2 linked regions of the Macaca fascicularis genome follow. The protein of the gene in region 1 interacts with the protein of each later gene in a pairwise test. Links are inferred from orthologs where the notes say so. Each region holds a gene or a part of one and is shown on either strand. Other genes may lie near its edges.

What was found.
Region 2: the proteins of XRCC4 (region 1) and APLF interact in binary tests that used the Homo sapiens proteins (3 or more experiments, as listed by UniProt). The link is inferred for Macaca fascicularis from reciprocal best matches to the Homo sapiens genes XRCC4 and APLF.

Annotation. Positions count from the first base shown.
Region 1 is NC_088380.1:86,997,636-87,001,990, reverse strand, and holds the start of XRCC4 (DNA repair protein XRCC4), read right to left. Parts: upstream 2,829-4,355; 5' UTR 2,760-2,828; intron 1-2,759. Other genes in the region: TMEM167A (protein kish-A), read left to right, coding at 3,052-3,054.
Region 2 is NC_088387.1:53,372,195-53,375,254, reverse strand, and holds the end of APLF (aprataxin and PNK-like factor), read left to right. Parts: intron 1-2,023; coding exon 2,024-2,226; 3' UTR 2,227-2,542; downstream 2,543-3,060. UniProt on the Homo sapiens protein: Histone chaperone involved in single-strand and double-strand DNA break repair.

The sequences.
Region 1 (4,355 bases):
CTACAGGTGTATGCCACCACACCTGGCTAAGTTTTGTATTTTAGTAGAGATTGGGTTTCACCATGTTGGCCAGGCTGGTCTCGAACTCCTGACCTCAAGTGATCCGCCCACCTTGGCCTCCCAAAGTGCTGGAATTACAAGCATGAGCCACCACACCCGGCTGGAATTTTCTACTTAATATTTTCAGGCTGTGGTTGATCATAGGTAACTGAAACTGTCAAAATCAAAACCTCAGATAAGGAGAGACTACTGTATTTAGTGCCTAATATATGCAATTCAACAGTTCCTCCATTATAATTCCTCCTCTCCAGAGACTTTTAATTTACCAAAGCCATGCACAACAATAGACAACACTTTCTGAGTGCTTACTGTATGCCAAACACTTGCCTAGATGATTTACTTGTAATAACTCGTTTAATCCTCATAACACTGAGGACACTTTTGCACTGGCTCCACAGAAAAATATAAATATCACTATTTTTACATATGATTTGAATATACCCAAGAAAACAAAGTTGCAAATATTCTTCCAGATGCAGGTGAGATAAAAATTTTTAAACAGGTCAGACGCGGTACGGTGGCTTACACCTGTAATCCCAGCACTTTGGGAGGCCAAGACGGGAGGATCACTTGAGCCCAGGAGTTAGAGACCAGCCTAGGTAACATAGTGAGCCCCATCTCTACAAAAAATGAAATAAATTAAGCCAAGTATGGTGGCATACACCCATGGTCCCGGCTACTGAGGATACTGAGGGAGGAGGATAGATCACTTCTGCCCAGGAGGTTGAGGCTGCGGTGAGCCATGATTGTGCCACTGCACTCCACCCTGGGCAACAGAGCAAGATCCTGTCTCAAAAATAAAATAAATAATAATTTTTGAACAAAGGAATAACACAGTCAGATTTTATTTCTAGTAAGGAAAGGATCCAAGATGGTTTTAAATGAGGATTCATTGCAAAGCTGCCAGAAAGACTTTTGAAATTGTGATATAATCTGAAAACCAAAAAGTAGCAGGTTTATGTAAGACGATGCAGCTAAACTACCACCTCCCAAAAAGACTCACGTCAGATTAACTTTGATGTTTTACATAAATGCAATAAACATTATACATATTTGTTCAGCCTCATTTATTGGCACATGTGTTTCTCTCCATGGATAACTTAAAAACTGGCAATGTCGTTCTTTACTATTTTGAAGCTCAGGTACATAAGAAGCCATGGCCTAAAGTTAATTAAAATATATAGACATAGCAAATCAATTGTGATCTCTACAAGTTAAGCTTTCTGATGCTCTTCACAGGTAGCCTGAAGCAGAGCTTCATACAGAAGTATTACTCTTAAGTGTAACAAAGATCAAGACAATCTTCACATGAAAGCAAGGGCAGTTATGTCTACAGACACATTTACTACCCTAAAAGCCAAGCTCGATAAGTTGCACAACATAATTTCCATAGCTAAACCAAGTTTGTTTAATTTGAATGGCAAGACCTAAAAGGTATAATATAAAGGAATTACAAGACAGAACATTAAAAGACTTTTTTCTTCCTCAGGTGGAGAGTACTGTATTTTTTTTATACCTTTCTTTTTCCCCTCTCCCACAACGTTATTAAATTCCTTAAAAGAACAGACCATCTTTGTTCCTATGCTGCAATCTCAAGATCTATGAATAAAGCAGGCACCCAGTAAATACTTGCTAATTTGTGTAATTGACCAACTCTTGACAATTCAATATAACAGACTCAACTATCAAGTTAGTTAGAGTTTAAAACAAAACCGTTGTGTGCCCTAGTGAACGATGTAAAACACAAACAGCAGAATCCCAAATCTTCTAATCATTTGTGTTGCCCTAAATACAAAACGGTCTCATAGGCCGAATACAGGTCGTAAACCAACATCTCACCTGAGTTACCTTCTCTCTATCCACCTTCTAAGTCAATAAATAAAAAATTGAAAACATTCTGAAAAGAACCCTCTGCTGCCTGAGAAAAAAATACACCACACATTTAGAGCCAAAAGGTTGCCTTAAGGGGGCAAAGAGTGAAAAATTCTCCTTTCTAATACTTTATCAGAATTCCAAGAACTACGCAAATTCAAACACGTCAAAGCTCCTGTTTCTCCATCGATAAAATGCAGAAAGAAAAACGTGCGTGCGTGTGTGTGTGTGTGTAACAGAACCTCACCTATTGGGATAATTAACATCAGAAAAAGCTAAATTCTACTACTGATTAAAAGTTGGCTTGTCATTTGTCTTGCCAGTTGATCTCTCTAAAGTACCTATCAATTGCAGTTCCTTCCCATTGGTTACCACAGAAAGTTCTTTCCTGACCCCAAATTGCCTAGTACGTTTCAGTCACGATGCCTGGATGGAACCCACAGTTGACCAATATCTGGGGATTGAAAGGACAGGCCGGTGTTGGGGAAATGCTCACTATCCTCTGGATTCAACTGTCCTCCCAATCCCACAACCAACACAGAGCATTTCAAAAGTGCTTCGCATTCCCAAGAATCCCCCAGATGCAAATAGAGAAACTGAAAAGAAGGTGAACAGGTAGGTTCGCACCCTGAGGATGATGCCGGGAACCCTAGCATCCCCAAAAGCCCACAAGAGGAAGGCGCGGGAGCTCACAAATTGAGGGGGATTCTCACACTGTGGAGTTCTAGGGGTAAATAGCAGGGAACTTTTTTAAAAAGAAAGCAAAAGATAAAAAGAGAAAATCATATTTTTGTTATTTAAAGAGGCAGCCCACTTCCGGACCCTACCTCTCCGTGAGTGTACTTCCGGTCTCCTCCGAAACGCCCGCTTTCACAGATCAAGTTCTTGCAACCAATGAGAGCATCAGCTACTTCCGCCGGTCTGCGGGGCGTGGTCTAAATCCCGCCTTTTCCGGTGGAGAGGAGCCTATCCTAGAGTCTTAATCGCCCGACTCAGTAGGCGGTGCCGTGACAAGCCCAACCGGACGGCTGGAGAGGGCGAAAAGGGCAGACGGGGCGTGCAGCCTCTTCCGCCTGGGGCCCGGAAGGGTGATGTGGCTGCGGTATCGCCGGCCTCGCTATGGTAAGAATTGGGGCTGCCGGGTCGAGGTTAATCTTCGAGAAGGGATTGTGGGTCTAGACTAGGGCTGGAGGTTGTGCGGCAGCCCGGGGTGTGTGGGCCTTGGAGCCATGTGGTCCCTCCACGGTCAACGAGAGAGAATCAGGACGGACTGTCCAAGAAAGACTCCTGGGTCGCGGAGCCCGCCCCTCATGCAAAGTCCGCTTTCCTACTTTGTTTAGGAAAAAAAAAATGCGTTGGTGTGTTTTAACACGTTGGCTACGTAGATTATCTGGGGTCATTGAAGCTTTGAAGCGTTAGAGCTTCTCGAGTTTCCGCTTGTTTTCTTGCATCTCCTTATTTCACCCTAGGGGCTTTACTCTGGTGTTATTGTTTGAATTTGTGGGGAGGTTCCTTTGGCACCAAACTCCATACCTTCGTTTGCAGCTGTTTAGTCAATAGCCTCTCAGGACCCTTCCACATTATTCTCTCAACTTTGAAAATGCTACTTTACAAGCTATAGGTTTTAATAGTTAAGAGTTCTCTGCAAAGGCGGATTGCTTTTCTAGGGGCTTAATATACTTATTGGAGTGGTGTCTAGCCTCAGGCCTTCCTCCTCTTTTACCTCCAAGTCCATTTGCCAAATGTGTATATTTCTGGGCAAAGGATGCATGCCTGCGAATAGACCCAAAAACAACTATGACTCCAAAAAGCTTGAGTCTCATGGTGAAAAATTATGAGCCCACGTTCACGGAAGTTGCTACAGAATCCCATATAGCAATAATTCAGTTTCTTCTCTGGACGAATTTACCACCTGATAGGAAGATGGCAGTTGAGACTAGCAAGACTGTCACTCTTAATTCTTTTACATCTTTCTAAAAACTGAAGTTGAATTATTTTACTCGTAGTGCAAGTCAAAGATAACTCTTTTTATTATCTCACTATCAGACTAGCTAAAAACAAGATGCATATACTGTGCTGAAGATCATCGGTATATAAACTATCTTGTCATGCTTGTTTTTCCAAAAGTAGCATATACTTTCATTCATTATCAAGTCCTATGTACCAGGCTCTTTTCAAAAAATCAGTTTATAAGCATGGAAATATCAAGTTCACCACAACTTCTAAGTAGATGTTTACAAGTGAAAGAAGTGAAACATGAGGAGATTGACTTGCCTTGGATCACACCTAGTAGATTGTAAAGCCAGGACTCAAACATATTTTAATGTCCAGATGCCCGAAATCTTCATGTTGTTATCGATAGAAACACAACATAACTGAGGATGAAATAAGTCTTAGTAAATTTGTTCCTTATTAATATAAAT
Region 2 (3,060 bases), on another chromosome or scaffold:
TGAATCTGAAAGGAAACTGTTTATTGAGATATCATTAGGACATGTTATGTGATAATGTGCATTCACATCTTAGAAAAGAAAGTTATGTGTATAAGGTACTTCCAAGAGGAAAATTGACAAAAATAGAGATATTGATGTTCTTTCCTTCTCATTCCCTTTCCCAACTGTAAATTGCCTTCCAATTTTTAAAAAATGCATGTTATTATTTTTAAAAATATGGGTAACTGAGATTAGACATAAAACATGCCCTCAAGATGTTTACAGGAGCTGTGTATACAGATAAATGTAATGCAAGATTTTCCTTAAGGAACTGGTGAGCTTCCTACTATAATGAGAATTGTGCAAGTTATTATATTGCCTTTTTAGCCGTGGCTACCAAGAATCTTGGGGATAAATTTGATGCTCTATTTTTAACAATTGTGTTAAAAATTGAGATTATCATATGTGTATTCTGCTTTTTATGTTTTTGATTTCTACCTTTATTAGCATTTTATTATTGTAAACTGTCTCAAATCCTTTCTGGAATGAGTACTGATACTAAGAAAAATATAAATGTGGCCAGGCGTGGTGGCCCAAGCCTGTAATCCCAGCACTTTGGGAGGCCGAGATGGGCGGATCACGAGGTCAGGAGATTGAGACCATCCTGGCTAACACAGTGAAACCCCGTCTCTACTAAAAATATAAAAACTAGCCGGGCGAGGTGGCGGGCGCCTGTAGTCCCAGCTACTCGGGAGGCTGAGGCAGGAGAATGGCGTAAACCCGGGAGGCAGAGCTTGCAGTGAGCTGAGATCCGGCCACTGCACTCCAGCCTGGGCTACAGAGCGAGACTCCGTCTCAAAAAAAAAAAAGAAAAAGAAAAAAGAAAAATATAAATGTATTGGGCTATAAAGGTTAAAAGGACAGATATGTTACTTCCTTTGTCATTTTTCTCATTTTTCCCAATTCATTGACTTTATTTTTAAAATTATAACTATATGTTGCATGTGAACATTTTAGAAAGATATTAACCAAAGTATATACTAAAGTACATACATTAATGTTTTTAACCTATACATTTGCTGTTCATCAGGGACTGTCCTCTGCCATTCAGATTTCTAGATACAGTCTTCTTAATTGTTTCTTGAATGTTCCACACTGTCCTAGAGTCTTTCACTGCTTTATTTTAAAGCAACTCTGTAGCTCACTGTGGAAGGAGTAGGATGAGGGAAGAAATGAATTTGGAGACAGAATAATTCTAGTATTATAATATTACTTAGAAATCTGTAAATTATAATGTCTGTTATGATGGCAATCCTAGTCTTATTGAAACATGAACTGTAAGAATATCTTAGACCTATAAAACTAAACTTTCCAAAGTATCTAAGCTAACGCCCTGATGTGTCAATAAGCTTTTGCTAGGTTTGCTGTAATAACAAACATTTCTAAATTTCAGTGCCTTATAACAATAAATACACTTATTTCAGTGTATTTCTCCTTATTGCAGCTGTGAATTGGCTGTGGCCGTGTGCCATGTGTATTCTCATCCTGGAATCCAGACTGAGGGATCAGCCTCTATCTGGGACATGCTTCTTGTGGCAGAGGGGAAATGGCAATAGCAGAACCAGAGAAAGAGTCTTAAAGCATCCTTTTGGAAGTGACACACACTATTTCCACTCACATTTCTTTGGGCAATCACTGAGAAGTGAGGAAGTATAATCATATCACAGGAAGGGGCAGTGAATAACTGGGACAAAAATACATTCTACCACATGGGAAGATGGGATGTTGTGAATATGATTATGAGATTAAGGAACCATTATTACCAATCTCATGGGCCATTTTAGTTTCAGGAACCTCATGGTAGGAAAAGTTAGAATAATAAATAACAAAGCATCATTTTAGTGCCCTTTCCAGAAATCTGTAGTGGTAAGCTATGCATTAATAAAATTAATTCTCTGGATGCAGAAAGACATTTTATAGGTAGATGTCTGTCATCCCAGGTTGAGTGGCGATTGATGTGTTGTACCAATCTTCTGTTTTTCAGTGAGAAATGTTTTAGATGAAGATAATGATAATGTTGGGCAACCCAGTGAGTATGACCTGAACGACAGCTTTCTAGATGATGAGGAAGAAGACTATGAGCCAACAGATGAAGATTCTGACTGGGAACCAGGAAAGGAAGATGAAGAGAAGGAAGACGTGGAAGAGCTTTTGAAAGAAGCAAAACAGTTTATGAAAAGAAAATAGTAACTAACTTCTGTAGTCATGTGTGCCTTACATTTACTTTTTCTTTGTGGGAAAACATTTATGAACTAAGGAGGTACTTAAGTGACAGTTATTTCCTTCTTTTGATAGTTAATGACTTCTACTACTGACTCTTTACAAGTGAGACATTGAAACGTCAGCCTTCAGTATAATAGATGGAATTTTTTGTTGCCTTGCCTTTTCTTTCCTACATAAAGCCTCTGGAAATAGGAAGACGGAGAAGGTAGAGTAAAAATGGATATTTTTGATGTACTTTGTATATTGGTAATAAAAAGTAAAAGCCATAGGTTGCGCAAAACTTTGGTCTTTGTAAGTTTTTTTCCAAAGATTATCTTTATGGAGTACTCTGCAAGTATAACCAGGCAAATTACATGAAAACATGCCTCTTTTCATTGTTACTGAAGTAATTCTGTAAGCAGAACAGGATTTTTTTTTTTTTTTTTTTTTTTGAGACGGAGTCTCGCTCTGTCGCCCAGGCTGGAGTGCAGTGGTGCTATCTCGGCTCACTGCAAGCTCCGCCTCCCGGGTTCACGCCATTCTCCTGCCTCAGCCTCCCGAGTAGCTGGGACTACAGGCGCCCGCCACCTCGCCCGGCTAATTTTTTTGTATTTTTAGTAGAGACGGGGTTTCATTGTGTTAGCCAGGATGGTCTCGATCTCCTGACCTCGTGATCCGCCCGTCTCGGCCTCCCAAAGAGAACAGGATTTTTAAAATGCAGCCATTACTTAATGGCTTTTTTTTTCTAGTACCTTAGATGTGAGCTTTGCAATTTCCCTTACTACTTTTGTCCTTCGAAACTTGGGAAGATTGGTTCCA